Tamandua tetradactyla: one gene and its partners. The protein of the gene in region 1 purifies or fractionates together with the protein of each later gene. This does not show direct contact. Links are inferred from orthologs where the notes say so. Each region holds a gene or a part of one and is shown on either strand. Other genes may lie near its edges.

Evidence for each region.
Region 2: the proteins of ANAPC2 (region 1) and ANAPC11 purify together in Homo sapiens (affinity purification with western blotting; 7 studies listed by BioGRID and IntAct, with this or other methods). This does not show direct contact. The link is inferred for Tamandua tetradactyla from reciprocal best matches to the Homo sapiens genes ANAPC2 and ANAPC11.
Region 3: the proteins of ANAPC2 (region 1) and ANAPC7 fractionate together in Homo sapiens (co-fractionation; 6 studies listed by BioGRID and IntAct, with this or other methods). This does not show direct contact. The link is inferred for Tamandua tetradactyla from reciprocal best matches to the Homo sapiens genes ANAPC2 and ANAPC7.

What each region holds. Positions count from the first base shown.
Region 1 is NC_135328.1:130,759,948-130,767,973, reverse strand, and holds the start of ANAPC2 (anaphase-promoting complex subunit 2), read right to left. Parts: upstream 3,049-8,026; 5' UTR 3,006-3,048; coding exon 2,895-3,005; intron 2,599-2,894; coding exon 1,976-2,598; intron 996-1,975; coding exon 863-995; intron 1-862. Other genes in the region: microtubule nucleation factor SSNA1, read left to right, coding at 3,238-3,289, 3,799-3,998, 4,334-4,447, 4,540-4,647; TPRN (taperin), read right to left, coding at 6,880-6,942, 7,027-7,133, 7,208-7,451. UniProt on the Homo sapiens protein: Together with the RING-H2 protein ANAPC11, constitutes the catalytic component of the anaphase promoting complex/cyclosome (APC/C), a cell cycle-regulated E3 ubiquitin ligase that controls progression through mitosis and the G1 phase of the cell cycle.
Region 2 is NC_135332.1:74,073,356-74,081,422, reverse strand, and holds the start of ANAPC11 (anaphase-promoting complex subunit 11), read right to left. Parts: upstream 3,195-8,067; 5' UTR 3,060-3,194; intron 3,005-3,059; exon of another isoform or gene 2,814-3,004; intron 2,298-2,813; 5' UTR 2,296-2,297; coding exon 2,187-2,295; intron 1-2,186. Other genes in the region: ALYREF (THO complex subunit 4), read left to right, coding at 3,349-3,585, 4,084-4,215, 5,639-5,786, 6,281-6,344, 6,450-6,627, 6,725-6,739. UniProt on the Homo sapiens protein: Together with the cullin protein ANAPC2, constitutes the catalytic component of the anaphase promoting complex/cyclosome (APC/C), a cell cycle-regulated E3 ubiquitin ligase that controls progression through mitosis and the G1 phase of the cell cycle.
Region 3 is NC_135331.1:11,114,439-11,122,367, forward strand, and holds the start of ANAPC7 (anaphase-promoting complex subunit 7), read right to left. Parts: upstream 3,195-7,929; 5' UTR 3,189-3,194; coding exon 2,983-3,188; intron 1-2,982. UniProt on the Homo sapiens protein: Component of the anaphase promoting complex/cyclosome (APC/C), a cell cycle-regulated E3 ubiquitin ligase that controls progression through mitosis and the G1 phase of the cell cycle.

The DNA.
Region 1 (8,026 bases):
CCTCTACGAGGAACCCTGCAGTGCCCTACCTCTGACTCAGGCAGCAGTGACCCTAATGCAGGGTACATGAATGACAGACACATGGGTTGTGTGGGAGGCATATCCCCCTCCATGTGAACACAGCCACACACATGGGATTAGACATGGGACCAGTACATGACACAGCATGATGCAAACCACCAGTGTACATGTTCACTGGCATGAGGACATGGCCCACAGACCATCCCATGCACAAGGCTGCCACCTCCTAGGCCATGTTCTCTCCACCTGGGAACAGTGCGCTCATTCTGCTGGCTGCTGGTGCTCATGCCCACTCTAGGCTGGAGCTCTGGAGACAACACTTTTAACACTGTGTGCCACAGGGACCTTGGGAACGGCGAGAAGCAAACAGGTCCACACACTAGGAGCCCAGCTCCTCTGTGGACTGAGGGCGCCCTGGGGCAAGCTGCAGGCCTACGAGCAGACAGCGGACACCAAGGCTCTGCCTCCCTCAGCAAAGGGTGACCTTGCCACCACGCCATTCTGCCCCAGACCCCGCCCCCGCAGTGACTCTGCTCTCCTTCCCTGCCCTGCAAGGAACGCTCAGCCCATGGAGGCATGCAGGCTGGTCGTAGGGGCCTTGTCAGGGATGGAAGTGGAGCCCACAAAGAGGAGGCAGCAAGGTCAAGAAGCAAGTGGATTCCCCACTCCTGCCCTTGGCACTGCCCCTGCCATGCAGCTCTGCGTAGACCTTGGACACTGTCACCAGAACAGACCCAGAAGATCTGGCCTCTACCTGGCAAGAGGGATGGGTTTCAGTGGCCAATGAAGTGCTTTCTGGCAGGGCCAGTCCTGGTGGAGGCACGGACAATGGGCACCTCACCTTGTGAAACTCCCGCAGGAATGAGCGCTCGTACTCGCCCCGGCAGCGATCCTCCATCCTTTCCCGTGTCACCTGATGCAGAGTGCTGGTCACTGCCTCCGCACTGACCCGTTCCAACAAACTGAGCCTGTGTCTGGAAGGCAGAGTAGTGGGTATACTTGGCGCATGTCTGGCCCGGGAACCCAGGACGGCCCCGCATGTGGAGCACAGTGCACACCTGCCACCCATGCAGGGAGAGCTCCCACTGCCGCCTCAAAGGGCAGTTGTACCAAGGGCTTCAAGGAAAAGCTGCTGGGAAGGCAGAACCCTGGGAAGCAGCTGCACACCCCACCCAGACAGCATCCTCTATCCAGCAGCAGTAAGTGTGGCTCCTGGGGCCAAGCTTCATTTACTAGGAGTGCCTCTGGAACAGCAGCCAACAGTACCCTGCCAGGTGAACCTAAGTACTTTTCAGTGCAGACCCTGATCTAAGTGACAGGTGGCCCAAAGGGAAGATGAGAAAGAGCATTTACACCCTTCAGGGCCTCCTCCCTTGGTCCAGCTGAGATGCTATCTCCCAAACGGTTGCAGTGCTGCCACTTCACTCAACGTGACAATATCACCACAGGCAGGCCGGGGAGACCGAGACAGTTGCTAGAGGGCTCATGTAATAGGATCTGGCTCTAACAAAAAAAAAAGTACTCTTCTCTCAAAGTACAGGGAAAGAAGTCCGCTTGCCTGTCATGCTGGTCCAATCTCCCCACAAAAGGAAATAGCCAGTCTGCTGTTCACAGCCACTGCAGTAAAAACTAGGTACTCCCATGAATACAAACACTGTTCCTCCTTTACAGAGCTTACAACTGGCCAAGGAGAATTCTGGGCAACGCAGGAAGTTTGGGCTCCTGCAGATAAGAGCCATGTGGGGTGGTAGTGGAGAAGACATCCGGTATTGGGTTGAGTGTGAGCAGTGTGAAAGACACACCTCTGGGTCCAGAAGAAAAGGTGTATCTTACTGCCCAGAGATGCCAGGAAAGCAGGTAGAGCCCTCAATCAGCTCTCTGCAGAGACCTATCAAAGAAATAATGTGGACTCAGGAGGACCGGGGGAGGATACAGCCATCCCAGGGGTACTCACAGGACTTGGCTGAGCTGCTGGAACTGCTCTAGAGCCTGGCGGCACCAGCACTGCTGCTTATCACTGCCGCACCCAGCACACAGCGGGCTCTGCAGAAGCCGGTAGTATCGGCGGCGGGCATAGCGGCTGTCCAACTCCCCCTCCAGTTCCGGGTCTGTGCCTCCTTCCCCCTTCCTTTTACTCTGCATATAGACTCGCAGGTAGCGCCCATAGAGGCGCTGAATCATATCCTGAAAGGTTCTAGGAGTGGAAAAAAAGAGGACACCCCGCACCATGGTGTGGACCTTTTCCCGTAGCCCCTGAGCACCAGTGCCCATCAGCAGACCCAGGCGAGTCCATTTCTCCAGGAGTTCGAGGCTCCTTAGGTAGGGGTGCAGGCGGCTCTCCAGCAGGCCGAAAGCGTCAAGAAGCAGCAAAAGGCACTGGGGCTCGTCGGCAGAGTTCTCGCGTTGGGAGACGGCATTCCAGAACTCCGGAGAGATGTTGGCCTGCAGGTCGTTCTGCAGCACTTCTACGAACCACTCCTCCAGAACCGAGTGCAAACCGTGGCCCCTTAGCACCTCCACCGCCGCCCGGAGCTCCTCTTCCTTCGGCGGGACCGCACCGCTGGTCCGGGAGGACGCCTAAAGTGCAGAAAACCGCGAAAAGAGGAACAAGGCGAAAAGCGGGGAAGGGCGGCAGCGGCAGGGGAGAAGCGGGGAAGGGAGCGGAGCGGGGAAAGGCTGTGGAAACCCCGCCGCCCCTTGTCGGCAGCGCACGGATGTCCGGCAGTCGCCAGGCATGGGCTGCCAAGGGCGCCGAACGCGGCAGAACTGTGGGGGAAGGAGGGAGGACGGCGGTGGGCGAGGCTGGAAGCCCTAGAGAGCGACAGGTTCCCAGGAACCCCAGGTGGGCCCGTGAGTGTGTTCCCGAGCCTCACCAAGCCCAGCGCCGCCGGTGGCACTAGCCCGACGCTCATGGTGTCCCAGGCCACCAACAGCTCCGGTCCAGGCCCGGGTTCGCAGGCCGTCTCCTCCCCTGTCGCAGCCATCTGCGTCCACCGGCTCCAGGTCGGCCCTGCGCGGCGCGCGGCGATGACGCTCGGGAGGGGGCGCGCGGCGATGACGCTCGGGAGGGGGCGCGCGGCGATGACGCTCGGACAGGCGCGGCGCGCGGCGATGACGCTCGGGAGGGGGTGCGACGTCCGTCACACTGGCGGGCGCCGGCCTTGGCGGCGGTAGCGGCAGTTGACTTGGCGGGGAATCGGGCGGCGTGCGACGACCATGACCCAGCAGGGAGCGGCGCTGCAGAACTACAACAACGAGCTGGTCAAGTGTGAGCGCCCGTCCTGCGGCCCCGCCCGCCTGGGTGTCCCGCCGGTGCCGGGCGGGGGAGGCGAGGGCCCTCGTGGGTGGGGTGCGTGGCGGCTTTAGCTTTGGGCGAGCCCCCGGTATCCTCCGTCCTGGGTGTCTGGCCGGTGGAGCGGGCCTGGGCCGGGGCTGACGCGGGGGCCTTCTTAGATCAGAGTCGCCGTTGGATTTAAGCTGATGAACGCGGTTGGGACCGGTGGGCCTGTTTAGTGAGTAAAATAGAGGAGTGCCTGGAGCGCTTACTGGCTCCTAGGCACGCCGTCCACAGCTCTTTGTGCAGTGACTTGTTTAACCCCGAAACCCTGCTAGGAAGTTCCTTGGACCTTACTTGGAGGGACGATGATGCCGCCAGGCCTCACTTTAGACTAGCCTTCCACCCACCACAATTTGGAAGGATGGGCTCTCGAGTTTGGGGGATCGAGTGACTTCCTACCCTGAGCCCCCACCAGTGCCTCCTTCCCACCCCTGCTCTAGGCATCGAGGAGCTGTGCCAGAAACGGGAAGAGTTGTGCCGGCAGATCCAGCAGGAGGAGGAGGAGAAGCAGCGGCTGCAGAATGAGGTGAGGCAGCTGACTGAGAAACTAGCCCGGGTCAACGAGAACCTGGCCCGCAAGATTGCCTCTCGCAACGAGTTTGACCGGACCATCGCAGAGACAGAGGCTGCCTATCTCAAGGTGGGGCTCCGGGGGGAGGGGGGGGACCCAGGGGGCTGCAGGCTGGGCTGAGGGCTGATACTGGCAAGCCTTGGACGTTCTGGAGAAGTGTGGCTTGGGGTTCCCACCAGCAGCAGCTTCAGTTCCTGTCGCTTGGACTCTGGGGCAGAGCATCAGGAGCACACAGCTATGGGCAGGGAGCCTCTGGGACTGGGGCACCTGGACCAGTATGGAGCCGCAGTGTTGTGGCCCTGTTCTTGGCTCCATACTTATTACTCAGTCCGTTTTGTTCAGTGCAAGGGACAGAACTTCCAGAGTACAGCTGCAGTCAAAACTAAGTCTGCCTGGCTCTGCAGGCTGGGGAAGAACAAGCTTTGGGCCGGACACAGGACGTGCCTGGCCCTCAGGAGCTTTATCCCGGTGGCTCTGCCTGCCCCCCTGCCAGCGCGCGTCCCCTGCAGCACCTCTGGGTTGGTATGCTGCTTGCCGTGAGTGTGAGGTGGGCTGCGGAACCTTCCTACTCTGAGGAGCAGTGACAAACCTTTTGTTCTTCTGGCCTCAGATCCTGGAGAGCTCACAGACTCTGCTTAGCATCCTGAAGAGAGAAGCTGGGAATCTGACCAAGGCCACAGCATCAGACCAGAAGAGCAGTGGAGGCAAGGATAGTTGATGAGGCCACTGGTGGCCTGCCTCCCGCCCCACGCCGACATGGCCCCCAGGAGATCTGTTCACAAAGTGTCTGCCCTTGGCAGCAGTAACTGCCGCCCTCCATTGCCCTGGATGGAAAGAATGCCCACGAGCTGCCCATGCAGATGGGGAGGGCCTGGCTTAAGCTCATGGCGAGCTGCAGGGAGGGCTCCAGGTGGCTCTGCATGGGGCCCTCTCTGAGGCCTTCACCTTCTTGAACTGCTGAGGAGCCCAGGGTCTAGTCCCAGAGCCCCAGGAGTCTTCCCCTTGCCCTCCTCAGCCAACAGAGGCCCCAACCAGGCCAGTGTGGGAGGGTGCCAGGGCTTCAGAACCCAGATTTTAGAGCTCAGACCTTATGCCCAGCAACTGTGAATAAAGGTTTTCTTTGCAAAGTTGGGTATCAGCCTACTGTTCATGTCCTGGGTTGTGTGTAGGTTTTACCAAGAGGAGAGCCTGGAGTGGCTTTCCCATCATAGGATCCTCTCACCTCAGGGGTGCAGACCAGACCCACTTTTGCCCACCCTGCCCAGATCAGCCCCAGTCCCTGCTGCCCCATGTAGGGCCACATGTCCTCCCCCTCAACCCTAGCACACTGGAGTAGTTCTGTGAGGTCTCTGATTACTGCCCAGTGCTTTTTTTCTTTTTTAGCACGGGTAGGCACTGGCAATCAAACCCAAGTCTCTAGCATGGCAGGTGAGAATTCTGCCTGCTGAGCCACTGTGGCTCACCCTGCCCAGTGCTTTTAGACCTGGTATCTATAGCGAGACTTTGCAACTTGTTTGAAGTTGTAACGGCCAAACAATTGCACGTCAGCCCCTAACCAGGCACAGGTGCCTCTGGACCCTATACTCAAGCTTCTGCCAGAGTCTGACATCATCCCCCATCACCACATACTGGGTGCCACCCACTTTTCTTCCATGTGAAGGGACCTGGCCTCTAGTATGAGGCTCCTCCATGCCCCCATGTAGTCGTGTAACAGCCTCATGAGGCTGCAGCAACCAAGGGCCTGGGGGACTGGGCAGATTTGGAAGTGTATGTTGACCAAAAAGGTCGCAAGAAAGCTGGCCCCACTGATTCTGAGAACATGGCAAAACCATCTCTCCTTCCCAAGCCTGGACTGATGACCTTTCTCCTGGGTTTGACTCCTGAAAAGGCATGAACATTCATACCCAAAGCCTGAGCAGGATTTGTCTATGGATTTGTAAATGGCTGCAACTCAGCAGGCACATGCACAGCTGAGAGGATGTTTAAGGGGCCACCAGCCCAGCAAAGCTCCCCATCTAGAGCAGGCAGCCCTGGCTCCCCCCAGCACCTGTCAGAATCCACTGAGTTTGCCTGCCTGCCTGCTTCACCCCCCCAAGCCCAGGTGAGAGGAGATTCCTGAGGCCCTAGCATGCTCTTGCCCTCTGCAGCACCCACTCAGCCTTGTCTTGGTCCTCAGGTCCTCCCCAGCTCTTTGCTCTGAACCCATGAGGGAGCTGTTCTTATGCATCCCATCCAGCACCCACCACATGCATCTGAGGTCTCAGCCCCATCACAGAATTCCAGAGCTCAGGTCTTAGCCAGCCCTGGGAGAGGCTGCCGGATGGGAGTGGGCTGCTTCCCCAAAGGGCCTCCAGGGCCTCTGACCCCCAGAGTAGCACACAGGACAGGTGCCCACCCCCACCCCACCCCAGGCAAAGGCGTGAGGGAGGGGAGACCTGGGTTTGGGGATAGGGGTGAGGGTCTGGGCACGTAGACTCCTTGCTGTTCTCTGGCCTCTTCCTCCAGCAACAGCACTTCAAAGATCCCAGCCCTGCCCTCTACCACTCCCCCGCCACGTCCCGCAGCTTTTAGGCCAGGCAGCAGACCATCCAGAGAAGAGAGGCAGCCTTGTCCAGTGCTGTTTATTGGGTCCATTCGTCAGACAGAACAGACTCGGCTAGGGGAGGTGGGCAGTTGGTGGGGGCGGGGAGCCCGGGCTTAGTAGGCTCCTGCCTTGTTCCAAACAGGGCCACTGTCCTGCAGGACTCCTGGCCCTCCCCCTTGGGCAGTGCCCACTCTGCTGTACTTTGGAGCCCACCCACAGAGAATGACACCCAGTCAGGCCCTGTCTTTCCGTCCTGGCATGTCCTGCAGCCCAGAACGGGAGGTGGGGTATTGTGGGGCAGTGAGGCGTGGCCTGGCCCATGGGGCACCTCAGGGGCTTGGCCTGCCCGTCTTGGCTGTGCAGATGTCAGAAGTACAGGGCTGGCTCGCTGCGGAAGTCCGAGAGGTCACTCTGACTGGCGGGTGTGAGCTGCCAAAGAGATGGACAAGTGGGTGTCCTGGGACTCATCCAGGCCCCAGAAACACCCTCGCTGCCTGACGGCCCCCTACTCACCATGATCTCCTTTGGGAGCGGCTCCCCTTCACTCAGAGCTGGCTCTGGCATCTGCTCAGGCCACTTGCTGAAGGCCACGGAATGCTTTGGAGTGTAGCTGGACAGGCCTGTGGGGAGGCCACTTGTGTGGACATGCAGCCCAGGCACACGGCCCTGGGCAGGGCCCTCGGGGGGCACTCACCTGAGCTGCTGTCGGGCAGCCAAGCGCCCTCGGGGCCCACGCTGTTCACGAACTTGGCCCGGGGCAGAAAGAGCCCAAAGGGCCTCTCCGCAGCCCCCTCGGAGCATGGCTCCTCCTGTTCGTCCTCCTCCTCTTCCTGCTGCCCCTCCCCGTCCCTGTCTGCCTCTTCCTCCTGCACCAGGGAGCTCTCAGAAGGATACTCAAACGTGGTCTGGAGGCTCTTGTCATTGAAGGAAATCTTCATCTGGGGGCAGAGAGCTCACGTCAGCATGGCCCGCATCCAGACCTGGGGCTCCTCCTGCCCACAAAGGCCTGGGGCCGATGGAGTCCCATGCAGGGGCTCTCAGGCAGGAGGCTGACCCAGTGACAACAGCCCCTCCGGGCAGGCTCAGGACATGCGGCAAGTGGCCTAACCAGGGCCTCCCCTTTGGGCTCCTCAGGAGACCCACCCCTCCCAGGGGCCAGGCTCCAGCCAGGACCCAGCGTCCAGAGCCTCCCTGTCCCCACTCCCCCCACCGGCTGGGATACCAGAGGCCGTAGGCAGCCCCCAGGTCAGAGTGCCCACAAGTCTACGGCCACGCCTAGGAACTTGCAGACCCCAAGCCAGGAGCTCCCACATCCCCCTTCCTGGGGGTTCACAGCCACTAGCCGGCCCGGCCCTGCCCTGCCACTGTCACCAGGGTCAGGATGGTAGCTGGCTGGCCCTGGGAATACTGCTCTGATCTCTGGGGCACGGCCCCTCCCAGTCAAGCAGCTCCATGTCAGGAGCAAGGTCAACGGGGGCTGTACCTTCCTCGAGGCACCCTCCTGGCTCCTGGC
Region 2 (8,067 bases), on another chromosome or scaffold:
GTGAACTGTGCTGGGCCAGGTAGGGAAGGAGGGGCTTTGGAGCTGAAAGATCCGCTCCCTAGGCAGCAGGGATCCAAGGCACCAGAAGGGGCTGGGGTGAACATGGCCCTACCCTCCTTCTCTTTTCCGAGTCTCCGGGAGGCCCCCTGAAAGGCTTGGGGTGAATGCTGTGGTGCTCGTCCCACACGCTGACCCATCACTCTCTCCCTCCCTGGCAAGATTACAGGGGGCAGGGGACCCTGTACCAGGATCTCACATTTCCTGGCCCCAGGGGGCCTTTCAACCTTCCCAGAAAAGAAGACTTGATGTGGCCTCTTTCCAGTTAGTTTTCCCTGGGACAGAGGGAGCTGCTACCTGGGGAGGAGGTAGGGCCACTCTGTCTACCTATGGGGGGCGGTTCATCTACATGGAAGAGCCGCTTCATCTGAGTAACACAGCCACTTGCCTCGGATACTTGGTGAATAACTGAACACAAGGATGACTCACACAGCACTAGTTTAGCTTGGGCGTCAAAGGAGGTCTTTTATAAACCGGAACACCTCTGGGCAGGACTGTGTACTCCCAAGGCCCTCTGCGGTGGGGGCAAGTCTCCTACCCCTTAGTCACTCTGGGTTTATAACAGGAGCTCGATGCTGGCAAGAGGAATTGCTGCCACTTTTCACATACAGGAGTCCCCTTAGACTTGTCATGGCACAAATTGAGACCCTGTGTCCATCATCCTCCATAGCCAATGGGCCCCATTTGCAAACTACTGGGCCCACGCAAAGGTAGAGCCACTGTAGTTCTCAGAACAGCGCCCTGTCTGGATGTGCAGGGCACAGGAGCAGCCAGCTGGGGTTCAGGATGGGCCTGCAGGCTCTATACAGGTGACTGCCACCACTGTGTTTGGGGCACAGGCTGCCCAGGCCTGCTGGAGCTTGCACCAGTACCAGCACAATCCACACCCTCGGGCACCACCAGCACATTTATGAAAGCTAAGCAGCCTACTGCCTTGGAAGTTCTAAGCTCTTGCCTCTTAAACTTCCAGAATCTTTGCTGTACCCTCTGAAGGGCAATTTAAGAAAGTTTAAATATAGCTAGACCACTTTCAGTTTAGTTGTTAGACGTTTGCTGTGATGTAGACTCAATCATCTCTTGATTGATGTAATCATTTGATGTAAATAAGATGTAGTGATAAGATCTCCCTTCAGCTAGGGCAGATAGGATCAAAGATAGGATAAAGTGATATTTGTACTAAATTCATTCATCTGACTGTCATTTTAAGAAGTAAAGCTCTATGATGTTTCTGGGCTCTTGATCGGCCCCAGAACAGGTTTGGTCACTGGTGGGGCAGTGAGGAGGGACTGCCAGCCCTATACACTCCTTTTTCCTTTCAGGGTCCTTGTCCTCCCTGGCCAAAGCCCTGAGCCTTGTTTCTGCTTGCTGTTCCTTTTGATCTGACTAGCATGTAAATTTGCTGGTGTGAAAATCTGCTCTTGCCCTAAACCTAATCAAATATTTTCTCTTTACAGAATTTAATGGAACAAACCAAAAGACATTACAAAGAAAAATCCAATAAAGTAGATTCTGCAAGCAACATGCCCTGTTTTTAAGTTTAAATGAATTGAAGAATGGTGTGGGGTTGAGAAAGGATTGCTCTACATTTATACTTGAAAATACTTCAGCAAAGATGTTAAAAGACACTTCATCTTATGAGTGATTTTTCTATAAACTTACAACTTCTCTAATAAAAAAAGCCAACAAACCACATACCTACAAATGGCAAGTTTTATAATATAAGTTAAAACTCAATAAATCTGACTTTAAAATAGAAATAAAGGCTATTCATTGTTAATTCCCTGGCGTGGGTGGGAGGGGGAGGGGATAAGGGGGTGTTCCTTATGCTATTTTACCTTTTTTGCTAGTTTGTTTGAAATTTTCAAACTAAAAAGTCTTAGATCTGTTTTTGTCTTGTGTGTCTCATTGCTGAGTTTGATTACAATAAAATGCTGCACTGGCTTTTCTTATAAAACTTTTTTGCCTCGATCTTTATAAAAACATGGGCCCAAACTGCTTGCCTTTTTTTCCTGTCACCTTTTCTTCAGGAAAACAAAATTAAAACCCAGGGATTTTACCCAGGTACTTTCAGGAAACGACAATGTCAGGCAAGTAGGCTCAAACAGCACTGCCAAGAGGGAGGCACTCACAGTCGGGACAGCAGCCGTTGAAGGCCATCCGGCAGATGCCGCAGTTCTCGTCATTGGCCACCCAGAGCCAAGTGGCCACGCCGTTCCAGCACTTGATCTTCACCTTCATGGCTGTGATGGGAAGAGGGTTACCTTGGTGAATCCGGTCTACAGAGCTAGAACACTAAGGCTCCCAGGGCGTGCTTCTCCCAGCCAAGAGGGCCCGCGCTGCAGGGGAGCAGCCACCGGCCAAGGCCAAGGGGAGCGGAGTGCCTGGCTTTGCACCCGGGGTTTCTTAAAGGTTCCTTTAGCCGTGTCTTTAGGGGCCCAGAGGGAAAGAAAGCCCTGAAAAGGGGCCTCAGCTCGCGCTGGCAAGGAGGGCATCAGACTTGGGACCACGGCTTTGGAGAGTTTGGCTTTGCCTCGCGTTTACGGTAACTACGGAGACCTGGACATTCACGAAAGGGCTGCTGCTTTCCTTAACGCCCTGTAAACAGGTCACACGACACTTCCAAAAAGGACACAACTAACAAACAAATGACCGTGGCTAACTTGGGGGATGGAGCCCCAAACCGCGCACGCTGTGAGATTTTTAACTCTCGAAAAGGCACAAACAGACGCATGAGTCTGTACCCCCGACCCCCATACCTGCCCGGGGCAACCGCTAGGCCCTGAAAGACGAATCGCTGGAGACGGTCGGCCGGGCGGTCCCGTGAGAAACGGCGGGGAAACAAGCCGCGGTGCCCGCCGGGCATCCGGCTCAGGACGCGACCGAGAGCGCGGAGAGCTCGGGGGCGTCCCAGGGGCCCCGCCCCCAGCCCGAGGGACGGGCACGTCAGGCCCCGCCCCCAACGGCCCCCGCCCAACCCAGGACGCCCTCGCCCCTTCCCTAACCTAATCCTACGCAACGCGGCCCCGCCCGTCGGCCGTTGTGGCGCCAGCGTCCGCGCGGGAAGGTATAAAAACGACAGCAGCCGCAGCCCAGCACCAGTCGGGCTGAGGTCGCCGAGCTGTGCGCCTCGCTGCGCACGCGCCTCCCCGCCTCGCGCGACTAGCCGCTCGCCGTCAGCCAATCGACAGCGGCTCCGGGGCCGCGACTCCGGAAGTCCCCGCGCGGCGAAGGAAGTGACGCCCCGGCGTGCTGACGCGCGCGCTCGAACCGAGGCCCGATTCCGCGCCCGCCATGGCCGACAAAATGGATATGTCTCTGGACGACATCATTAAGCTGAACCGGAGCCAGCGAGGCGGCCGCGGCGGGGGCCGGGGCCGCGGTCGGGCCGGCTCCCAGGGCGGCCGCGGCGGCGGAGCGCAGGCCGCCGCGCGCGTGAATCGAGGCGGCGGGTCCATCCGGAACCGGCCGGCCATCGCCCGCGGCGCAGCTGGCGGCGGCGGCAGGAACCGGCCGGCGCCCTACAGCAGGGTGAGTGGACGCGAAGGCCACTGGGGTTGCGGGGCGCGGAGTGCGCTGAGGCCCGGCCCGGCAGGCCGCGGGAGCGCCGAGTGGAGAGGGCTGGCCCCGAGGCCTGGCAGCTGGTCCCGAAGCCGGCGGGTGTGGTAGACGCCGGGGAGGTCGCGCGGCCTGGGGTTGGCCCCGGGAGGCTCAGACCTTCTCAGCCTCTTTGTCTCATCCGGGCGCTGCAACCTCATGGCGGCTGGGAGCGGAGGGAACGCTGGGCGCGGCCGCACCGGCGGCGGGAAGTTAGTTGAAGGGAACCTGAGAAGTTGCGCGGAAGCGGCGGGACCGTCGGGGTCTCGGGCCGGGGCAGGGAGGGAAGGGCCAGAGGCCCCTTCTCGGCGATTTCTCCCAGGGCCCGGTTGAGGAAGGGAGCAGGATCTTGGGATGAGCCCTGAGGGCAAGGAAAAGCCCTAGAGTGAGACTCACCGGTCTTTTTCTGTTCTATGGGGTTTTCTCTTTCAGCCAAAACAGCTTCCCGATAAGTGGCAACACGATCTGTTCGACAGCGGCTTTGGAGGAGGTGCCGGCGTGGAGACCGGTGGGAAACTGCTGGTGTCAAATCTGGATTTTGGAGTATCAGACGCTGATATTCAGGTAAGAAACGGAAGCGTCTCCGTGAGTAGTTCACCTTGCACAGAACTAATCGTGTTTGTCATGGGCCCTGAATCCTGTTCCCGCCTTAGGAAAGGAAGCCCTCCCAGCTGCCCCAGAAATAGCCACTGCTTCCGTGTAAGGGGCTGCAGGAGAGACCCTGCCCAGCAGTGGTCAGGAAAAGTTGAAAGTTGAATAAGTGAATCAGTGTTTGTTAGAAGATAAGACCTTAGTGTATTAGTTTTTGCAAAAACGTGTTTTTGGTGTCTGAAAATCCCCTGCAGAGCTTTCTACTTCTGGCTGCTTGCTTTCCTTGTTTTGTTGCTGTTTTAATGATCTATTGGGAGAAGAATCCACACACACACACACACACACACACACACGTTTTAACTAACAAAGTACAGAAGTAGGGTCTTAGTGGTTTTTCAGCTCTGTTGGCCTTGAGGCTTTCTATCAAGTATGACTTGTGGCCCAGTGGTACCACCCCCACCCCGTCCCCTGCCGCTCCCCCCAGGTTTTGTCAGTGGTTTGGTTCTAAGCTCATCTTTGGTTGAAGACTGGTTTTTGTTTTTGTTTTTTGTTTTTTATTGAACCTAAAGGAATTTAAACTTGTTTTTCTGGTAAAGAAACAGTTTCTTGGGGATCAGTCTTGGAGATGGCTGGGTCAGGGTGCTGGGCCTTCCTGGGTTGCATCTCCCAGAGCATGGCCATTGGGCTTTGCCGTGGGAGGACGGAGCAAGGCCGGTGAGCACTCACAGTGTCTCAACACTTTTTTTAAGGTGGTTTCTGGCAGCCACTGGAAACCGCTTTTGGTGACTCCACTTCCCGCTGTGTGCCTGCGGCCGGAGTAGCCCCACACTCTGGGTTCCCTCTCCAACTCCCAGCCTGCCTGAGGTCAGGGCAGTTTCCATGGCAGCGCTTGACTTCAGACTTTGCGGCAGGCTTGAGTAGGAGGAGAGGGAAAGGTGAGCCAGAATCTGCCTTCGGGGGAGGGACTGGGGTTAGGGCTCCCAAATCAAGGGGCCCTTCAAGCTGTCCTGGAATGTTGGGCAGCTTCCCTTGCTGTGTGATCTAGGCCTTCGCTGTTTCTTGGAACAGTTCTTGGGAGAGTTGTAAATTTTCTTTTGTCAAAAAGGAGAGCGGCTTAATTTTGTGCCCTTCACTTGTGGGTTCCTGCAACTTCCTTTCCCTGCATCGAGTTATAGATTTCAAGTCCCTCAGTTGGCAGGAGCCCTCAGACCCAGGTGCTTTGGAAGTTGCTGTCCTACCCACCCCATCCCTTCCCCCAGTTCCCACTGCCCTGCCCCTGTGTACATGGCTGCCTCCCAGGGAAACACCCCCAAAGCAGATTTCACTTCCAGGGACCATCCCTGGGACACTAAAGGGAAACAGCTCTGCTTACGAGTCTGCTCTTTCCAATTCCCAGGAACTCTTTGCTGAATTTGGAACTCTGAAAAAGGCTGCTGTGCACTACGACCGATCTGGCCGGAGTTTAGGAACAGCAGATGTGCACTTTGAACGGAAGGCTGACGCTCTGAAGGCTATGAAACAATACAACGGTGTCCCTTTAGATGGTGAGTTTGGGTTTGGACCAGTATGGCTGCAGGGTTGTACACGAAGGGTAGAGTTTGGGGGTGGCACTTGTCCACGCAGGGATATGGCTGAGCTCTGTGGCCAGGGACGCTTTGCATTTGCCCCTTTGTCTCTTCCATTCTACTGCCTTGCATGCTGTCCCTTACATCTGGACATCCGGAAGTTCTGGGAAGCCTTCTCAGAACTGCCATAGTAAACTTCTGAATGCAGGTTGTAGTCTAGAGACAGAGGTACCATTTTCCTCGTCAGAACCCTCTTCCTCCCACCTAGACTGGGCTGAGAGCAAAGAGGAGGCCTTGGGGGGGTTGTTTTTATTGCCTTTTTGTTCCCCTACCAGTATTTCCAGGTCATTCCCTTGTTGGAAGTGTTTGACACAGCACAAGAACCCTTTGCAGTGCTTGCATGAAGACCAGGTAGGGCACCCTCAGATTAGGCATGACCTCTATCTGGCAACTGTGCTCTTTGTTTGCTGTAGGCCGCCCCATGAACATTCAACTCGTCACATCACAGATTGACACGCAGCGGAGACCTGCACAGAGGTGAGTTCTGGGGCCCATGGAGCAGTGGGGGTAGGCCTATGGCATATGGTGGTGTCCATCCTTGGGGCCTGACCGAGTGTGAGCAACTCCTCTGTTCCTCGTCAGTGTAAACAGAGGCGGAATGACGCGAAGCCGTGGCTCTGGAGGTTTCGGAGGTGTCGGTGGCCCTCGGAGAGGCACCCGCGGAGGCAGCCGGGGAAGAGGCAGAGGAGCTGGCAGGAGTTCAAAACAGCAGCTTTCTGCGGAGGAGTTGGATGCCCAGTTGGATGCTTATAATGCCCGAGTAAGTCCAGGGGTGTGTGTACAGGGAGGGAGCAGCCCAAGCGAGGCTGGGAAATGGGGACTGCTTCCCAGTGACAACCTCTCCTGTTCTGTTTCAGATGGACACCAGCTGAGCAGACCCCAAGTCCGTGCGTGGAGCAGGCCCCGACGGCTCATCCGCATGCCCCGGAGTGGGGGGCGGAGGGCTGTGTGCAGCCATGGATTTGTTTCTTTTATGTTTTAAAGTAGGATTTAAAGCTCATGTAAAGGTTGTTGTTTTTTGTTTGTTTTTTTTTCCTTTTCTTTTTTTTTTAAATTCTGAAACAGACCTGTTTTGTACTGAGTTATTTTTGGGATAAATTTTACTGGTTGCTGTTGTGGAGAAGGTGGCGTTTTCACCTTTGCCATAATAATAAAATGGAAATGTGTGTAGAGCTGGAATGGTTTTGTTGTGCCGTTGTTGGGTGCTCCCCTGGGCCAGAGGCCCGGGGTCTGCCCGGGTGGGGTGGGGTGGAGCTGGGTGGGGAGAGGCAATCCTATCTGACATTTTGGCACCTTGGCCTGGGGGTTAGAGTTTGTGCTCCAGGAGAATTTTATCTTGACACTCTCCTGTTTCTGCTCCTGCTGTTCTTAAGTCCTCTCTAACTCAGTGGGTGGGAGGACCCAGAGCAGTAGCAGTCCTTTACCTGGAGTTACCTGTCATTGCACCTGCACCTAGAGGTGAGGGCATGGGACAGGGGGCAGAGCACCTGTGTTTTCCACAGATTTCAGGGCACTAGGGTGGACCTTTCTTTTTCCTTGTGTTTGTGTCCTCAAACCTGAATTCACCATCCTAACCTCATAATGTCCGATTGTGTTCCCTGCTGTTTTCTGCATTGCTGCGGTGCAAGGTATAAGGGTGTTCCTTCTCTTAATCGTGTTTTTGGTAAGGTGGTCGCTGGGAAGCTCATGGAAGCTGTGGCAGAATCGAAAATCAAATTTGACCAACAGAACAGTGACAGGGCGTCAGGCACCTGTGATGTGTGGTCTCAACAGGCAGGACCCCTTGGCAACCCAGGTGGAGCAGAGCCTGCTGTGGCCCTTGTTGAGCAGGGGGACCCAGAGGGCAGGACATCCTATGGAGGCCACCCAGGGGTCTCTTTCTGGAACTTCACCTCCTCCCTCTGCGGGACATTGCCCAGTGGAGGGCCCAAAGGCAGGTGAAGAGCGGGACACGCAGAAAGCCATTGGCTGTGAGGAAGACCTGAGGTAGAGGGAAGAGAATGCAACTCCTAAGTCATGTTCCTTCTGATAGCTGGGACATCCCCATCTCCTAGGGGGAATCAGAGAACGGAATTGCAAGCAGTCAGCAAGACATGGCTCCCGAAGCTCACCCAGCATGCACTCCGGCTGCCACCTAGTGAGGCTACTGCCACACCCTGCTGCAGGGCGGGCTTCCAGAACCAGTGTGTCATATGGGAAG
Region 3 (7,929 bases), on another chromosome or scaffold:
AAACAGATAGCAATTAATATTTAAAATTTTTAACTTATGTGTGAGACTAAAGCAAAAAACGTTTATTTGGTACAAAATTTATATTTTGACTAGTGCATTTCCTAATATAACTTATGTAGACAGCTTAAATGAACACCATAACTACATGGAACCTTGAGTAGGGCATGAGATTTTGCTGGTTTGTCCAGAGCGATGCCCCATAAATCTCAGAGTGATTTGAACAGTGAATATAAAAAGTATTTTCAAAGGAATGGTGAGAAAGGGGGAAAATTCAACTTTCCCAAGTTGAATTCTTGATATTCTCACAAGCAGTGTGGACAGCCAAAGCAAAAGGCTGAGCCCCCAATCTTGGGGCTTGTTCATATGAAACTTAACCCCACAAAGGATAGATCAAGCCTACTTAAAATTAGGTCTAACAGTCACCCCCCAAGAGAACCTCTTTTGCTGCTCAGATGTGGCCTCTCTATCCAGCCAACAGAACAAGCAAACTCACCACCCTTCCCCTGTGTACGTGGGACATGACTCCCAGGGGTGTGGACCTTCCCGGCAACGTGGGACAGAAATCCTAGAAGGAGCTGGAACTCAGCATTAAGGGATTGAGAAAACCTTCTTAACCAAAAGAGGAAAGAGTGAAATGAGACAAAATAAACTGTCAATGGCTGAGAGATTCCAAACAGAGTCTAGAGAGGTTATTCTTACGCATTAAACAGATATCACCTTGTTAGTCAAGATGTAATGGAGAGGCTGGAGAGGGAACTGCCTGAAAATGTAGAGCTGTGTTCCAGTAGCCATGTTTCTTGATGATGATTGTATAATGATAGAGCTTTCACAATGTGACTGTGTGATTGTGAAAACCTTGTGCCTGATGCTCCTTTTATCTACCTTGTCAACAGACAAGTAGAACATATGGAATAAAAATAATTAGGGGGAACAAATGTTAAAATAAATTTAGTTTGAAATACTAGTGATGAATGAAAGGGAGGGGTAAGGAGTATGGTATGTATGAATTTTTTTCTGTTGTCTTTTTATTTCTTTTTCTGAACTGATGCAAATATTCTAAGAAATGATCATGATGATGAATGTGTAACTATGTGATGATATTATGAATTACTGACTATATATGTAGAATGGAATGATCATAATAAAAAAATAAAAAATTAATAAAAAAAGAAAGTTACAAAGGAAATTCACGGACCAAAAAGTACAGACCAGATGACTTAACTAACTCTGAGATTCTATATATTTAGTGAAAAATAAAGACCTCGGATAAAGAACAAAATATTACTACATACAAGAATTTCATTTAGATTTTTATATAATGTAACATACATGCCTACATATACATGCAGAGATTATCTCTAGACTAATACATGAGAAACTCAATTGCTGTTGCCTCTAGAGAAGGGAAATGGTTCAGGGACAGACAATTACCTGCAAATCCCTTCTGCACTATTTGTATCTTTTAAAAAAAATTTTTTTAGCAGTATGTGTATTACATATTCAATAAGTTAATTTAAAATGCAAATGATAAAGGTCAGAACCTAAAACACCTCCTGAAACTAGAAAACTATTGGTCCCCAGTATGACACACAGCCTGGGCTATGTAAACTTAGTCTAGCCAGAGGACCAAACTGCTTCAGAGTATCCTGTAACATCTTTAAGAACTTAGAGTATTGACGGAATGTTGCATAAATCCTCAATGGTGAAACCAAATGCCTTGGAAAATCACTGGAAACCAAATGAAAGGCTCCAAAATAAACACAGAAGCCTGACAGAGACCAGGCCTCCTCACTGTCAACTCTAAGCGGCTGGCAAAATTATGAGTCTCACATAGTGAGGTCCAAATTACACTAACGGGAATGAAATGGGGAGCAGTGTCTGCACTGCATGCACTTAGGGCCTTTCCTTGCTGACCTAAACAGCTTCTGGAGCATGCCAACTGCAGGGAATCCACACTGCACAGAAGATTCAGTACAATGCCTTTTAGTCTGGGGTGGGTCAGAACAGATAGACTCTAGAGTCAGAGGGGCCCAAGGTCCAGTCCTGGCTCCTCCACTTTCCAGATGTGTGAAATTCGACAAGGTACTAGGTTGAACCCACTTCTTATGACGTACAATAAACATGTATGCGATCACTGCCCCCCAGGCACCCTGTTGGGTGATGGGGACTATAGCAGTGAACAAAACGGATGAGGCACCTGTCCTCATGGTCCTTGCTGTCTAGCAGGAGAGGCAGATGCAAATGAAATAAATAACTTCATTAGGCGGTAAAAGCCATGCAGAAAATAAAACAGGGCAATGAGATACAGCAGAGGTTACGCTGGTGGTCAGAGAAAGACTCTCTGGACCTTTGGTTCTTCCTTACTGAGATTCCACAAAAGGAAGCTCGGAAAACCCGGAAAGGGCCAGGCTATGGCATCTCGTGCAAGTCAAAGAGGCGCCACGCCCACCCACCCAGGGAGTGTTCCGTATTCGGGGGCATGCCGAGGCGACAAAGTGGACCCTCCAGATACACCCGAGGGAATACATCCATCTTACTTGGGAGCGAGTGTATACAATCCGGGAGGCTGGGCCAATCTGAGCTGCGGCGAGAGAGGGAAAACATTTTCTGTGAAGGAGCCGGGAGAGGGGGATTCAATCCAGCGACGCGACAGCCGCTCCGCTCAGCGCCAGGTGCCTTGGAAAACTCCGGCGCCCAAGGTCTGGGGCGCCGGACCCTCAAGAGGTTCTCAGCACCTCCTGCCTCCCATCCTCCGAGCCGCCGCCGCTCGCAACATCCCAAAGCCGGGCGCAACGCAGGCGCCTAGTAAACAGCTCGCGCCCCGCAGCCGGCTCCGTGCGACGAGGCCCTCGCTGACCCTGCACCCTCGATCGGGGCCCGCGGTCCCCATCCGTCCCGCCCGACCCCAGACCCCCGCAGCCCCGGCTCCCAAACCCGCGCCGCTTTCTCCTCAGCCCCAGACCACTCCCCGCCTCGACTCACGGGTTGTTGTTACTCATTGTAAGTAGCAAGCTGCTGAGGAGCCGCACGTTGGAGTGCAGTCCCGCGGCTGCCATGTCCCGGACGTGGTCTATCACGTTCATCCTGGCACACAGAGCCGCCGCTAACGGCGGCAGCGGCGGCGGCACCAGAGGCCGGTAGGAGCGCCTCAGGGAAGGCGCCAAAATGGCAGCCCCGCCGGGGTCCATCGGGTCCACCGGCGGCTCCGCCCCCAAGCGCGCGGGCGCCCAGCGCGGTGCCTGCGTAAAAATCAGAGCGCCCTCCTTACCCCGCCTACCCGGCGTGGTAGAATGACACGGGTTCTTTATTTTTTGAGCAATAATAACATCCGCATGCTAAACAGCAGGTTTTATTGACGGCTTAAAATGGGTTGGGTTGGACAAAAGGCACCTCAGTAGGAATCTAACCGAGATATTAAGATTTAACAAAAAATGATGACTGAATCGTTATACAGACGCCTTTTTCTTACCTTCTGGTATGTTGTAGAATAGTCAGTTACTGAAATCCACTAAATTTCGAACTGTAAAAACCTCTTGACTGGCCCTGCTGTAACCCCTTACCCTGTTTTACAAATTTAGACACTTATCACAAAGACAACCCCCTGATGTTAAGGAAGAAACTTGAGGCAGCCCTGAACTAACTGCGGGGTTCATACTTGTTATGGTAATGGTTAGTCTAGCTTAGGTCCAGCCTGGTTCCACTCCTTTACATTTGTAAATCGTAATAGTAACTCCACCTCCCCTTGGGTGAATCCATCAAAACACTGTTTGACTCCTTGGAAGGGGAGAGAGAGTCTGGGCCCACGGGCCATATCTGTTCTCCTGGCTTCGCTTTGCAGTAAACTCTTTCTCCCTTTGAAACCCAGTGTCATAGATCGGCTGTGAGGCACCTCGGGCAGAGATCCCCGGGTTTGATTGGTATCAGAAGCAGCTCAAGTGAAATCAGATGAGTCTAAGAGGAATTTGTGCCTCTCAGTAACGAATAAAACGAGGTGGACTCTTATAAATAAAAATAAACATAGTAGGGTGTGACACAATTCCCAACAGCTGTCATTAAATATTTTAACCAAGAGCCAGGGCAGTCCTAACTGCATTCCCCATCGGCCTGCCTAGCAGGGTGAAGGCACCACACCCCACCTCCTCCAAAGTGTTTTGTGTTCTTGCTTTGCCTGCACATTAGCTGACTGGGGTGGGAAGGGGCATAGCTTACCCTGTGAAATGATTGGCGAGCCAGCATTAATAAAGGCTAGGTCCAAGAATGAGCTGGTATCCTTAATCAGCATTTGTCCAACACAGTCAGTATTTTACGAAAGATTTACACCACTTTTTGCATTGGATGTTCACAAATCAATCAATCTATCAGGTTGAACTCGCCATTACCTTTTTACAGGTAAGGAGGCTGTCTACTTAAATTTTGTGCCTGGGTTGTTAAATGGCTTTTTTTTTTTCACATGGGCAGGCACTGGGAAATGAACCCAGGTCTTTGGCATGGCACATGAGAACTCTGCCATCATGGGCCACCCGTTAAATGGCTGTTTAAGTCAGGTGTTCTGACTCCAAATTCCTTCATTATACAGTGACTAAATATATTGGGTCACAAATTCAAATGTGTACAAGAACCAGGGAAGCAATTAAATGTCCCATAACTATAACACTGTGTGCTATCATTTAAATAAAGTTCAAAAATACACAAGACAATATTATATATTATATATGGATATGCACACCTTTAAAAAATCATAAAGAAATTCATGGAAATGATAAACATCAATCAGGATAGAGATTACCTATAGGAAAAGTGGGTGGGAATGAGGTGAGGAAAGTATGTATGGGAGCTTCAACTGTGGCAAAACACTTAGGACTGATAAAGTTAAGTAGCAGACATACAGGTATTCTTTAGGGGGATGTGGGCACCAGCCTGCCTGAGTTCAAATCCCATCTTTGTCACTTAGTATCCTTTTTTTAAAAAAAAAAAAGGTTTAAAAAAATTGTGGTAATATACACAATTGTGGCCATATAATAATATAACAATCATTTTAAACATTTTAAATGGACAATTCTTTGACAACAGTTTGTAAGTTCCACCACTATCTGTCTCCAGACTATTTTGGTCATCCCAGACAAAAACTCCTTCTCATTTAGCAATAACTCCCCATCCTCCATCACCACCACACAAGTAACCACTGCCTTGCTTTCTGTCTCTATGAATTTAAATATTGTAAGAATTTCATATCAGAGAAATCATGCTAGATTTGCCCGTCTGTGTCTGGCTTATTTCGCTCAACATGTCTTCAAGGTTCATCCATGTTATGTAGTATGCATCAGCACTTCATTTATACTAATGACAGAAAAAGATTCCACTGTATGGATATGCCACATTTTGTTTATCCATTCATCTGCTGATGGACATTTAGGTTTGTTCCACATTTTGGCCATTGTGAATAACACCATGATAAACATTGATGTACAATTCTCGCTTCAAGTCCATGATTTCAGTTCTTTAGAGTAAGTACCTAGCAGTGGAATTGCTGGGAGTTTTAAGTTTTCTTGGCTTCTTAAGCAAATACCATGCGATGGGTTGGCTTAAGCAATAGGAATTTATTAGCTCATGGTTTTGAGACTAGGAAAAAGCCCAAATCAAGGCATAGTGAAGGTGAAGCTTTCTCCCTGGAGATTATGGGGTTCTGAGCTTGGCTGCTGCCAAGTGATTCTTGGTCCTGGACTCCTCTGCCACATGGCAGTGCACATGGTGGCCTCTCCTGGCCTCTCCCTTCTCTTCTGGGTTACACTGACCTTCAGCTTCTTGCCTCCAGTGGCTTATTCTCTAACTGTTTGAATTTCACTGTCCTTATAAAGGGCTCTAGTGATAGGATTAAGATCCATCCAGATTGAGTTGGGCTATACCTTAACTGAAGTGACCTCATCAAAGGGTCCTACTGAGAGAGAGAAAGTTATGAAAACTGTGAGTAACTCAGGCTGCCATGGCTTCTGGTGCCCAGCCCACACAGTTTAAGCCAGGAGCATTGAGTCAGCCTGATTCCTACCTAGTAGGCTGCTGCAGAATAGGATGGCTGCAGAAGTCCTCTTCCCAAACAACAAAAGGGGACATGGCTCAGTACTGATGCAGCTATTGCCTCATGAATTTAGACAGCTGGGTCCCATTGCTTTAGTCCATCCCAAACAGGTGATGCTGTGCCATTGTTTTGACTAGTGTCAGAGGTGGAATCAAGAGGTCCCAAAATACCTTGTTTTCCTAGGGTTGCAGGAATAGTTGCTGGAAAGAGTCATCTGCTGGGCAGGCCAGTAAAGCACAACTTTGGAGAGCTGAATAAAGAGCTTTTTTGGCATCATTCCTGAGCCATTACCCAGGGAACTGTGGAACTGGAGTGGGTCCCTAGTATGGGTCCCTGACCCTGTATGGGCTGTGAAATACTGACAAAATAACTGGCAAAGAATTACCTTAACACTAACCCAGTCAACAACAAATTCTTAGCCAAGAAAGAGAAACCAACCTTCAGAATAATCTTATCAACATAATCAGATGCCCAGATATCAGCAAGAAATTACAGGCCATACCAAGAAACAGAAAGAGTTGGCCTAGGCAAAGGAACACATTTTAAAAGTCAGAGGAGATATATAATTTGGAACAACTAATCAAAGACGTTAAAAGAAACCTCTTAAATTAATTCAAGGAGATGAAGAAAATATGGCTAAAGAGAAAAAGGATATTAAGAAGACACTGGGTGAGCATAAAGAAGTACTTGAAAGTACCAAAAGAAACATAATAGAAATTATGGGAATGAGAGGTGCAATAGATGGGATTAAAACTTCACTAGAGGCATATGAGAACAGATTTGAACAGGCAGAAGAAGGGATCAGCAAGCTAAAAGACAGGACATTCAAAATCCAACAAAAGAACAAATAAAGGAAAGAACAGGAAAATTTGAGTAGGGATTATCAATGAATTGAAAAACAGTGCAAAATGCAAAAATATATGCCTCTCGGTTATCCAAGAAGAATGGAAAGGAGAAGGAACAGAAAGAACATTTGAGGAAATAATGGCCAAAAACTTCCCAATTTCTATGAAAGACATAAATCTACATATCCAAGAAGAGCAACATATTCCAAACAATAATCCAAACAGAGATACCCCATGACACATACTAATCAAACTGTCCATTGCCAAAGAGAGAATTCAGAAAGCAACAAGAGAAAAGCGATTCATCACATAAAAGGAATGCTCGATAAGACCAGGTTCTGATTTCTCATCAGAAACTATGGTGATGAGAAAGCAGCAGCATGATACGTTAAGATACTGAAAGAAAAAAAACGCAATTAAGGATTCTTTATCCAGCAAAACTGTCCTTGAGGGAGAGTTTAAAATATTCACAGATAAAAACAAACTGAGAGAGTTTGTAAACAAGAGACCTGCACTACAAAAAATACTAAAGGGAGTTCTTCAGGCTGAAAAGAAAAGATAGGAGAGAGACATTTTGAGGAAAGCATAGAAAGAAAGATTATCAGTAAGAGTAACTAAAACAGTAACTAATGAATATAGATGCAAAAATCTTCAACAAAATTCTAGCAAATCAAATCCAGCAACATATTAAAAGAATTATACATCATGACCAAGTAGGATTCATCCCAGGTATGCAAGGATGGTTCAACATAAGAAAATCAATTAATGTAATACACCGTATCAACAAATCAAGGCAGAAAAATCACATGATCATCTCAATTGATGCAGAGAAGGCATTTGACAAAATTCAACATCCTTTCCTGTTGAAAACACTTCAAAGCATAGGAATACAAGGGAATTTCCTTAAAATAATAGAGGGAATATATGAAAAACCCACAGCTAATATCGTCCTCAATGGGGAAAACTGAAAACTTTCCCCCTAAGATCAGGACCAAGACAAGGATGTCCGCT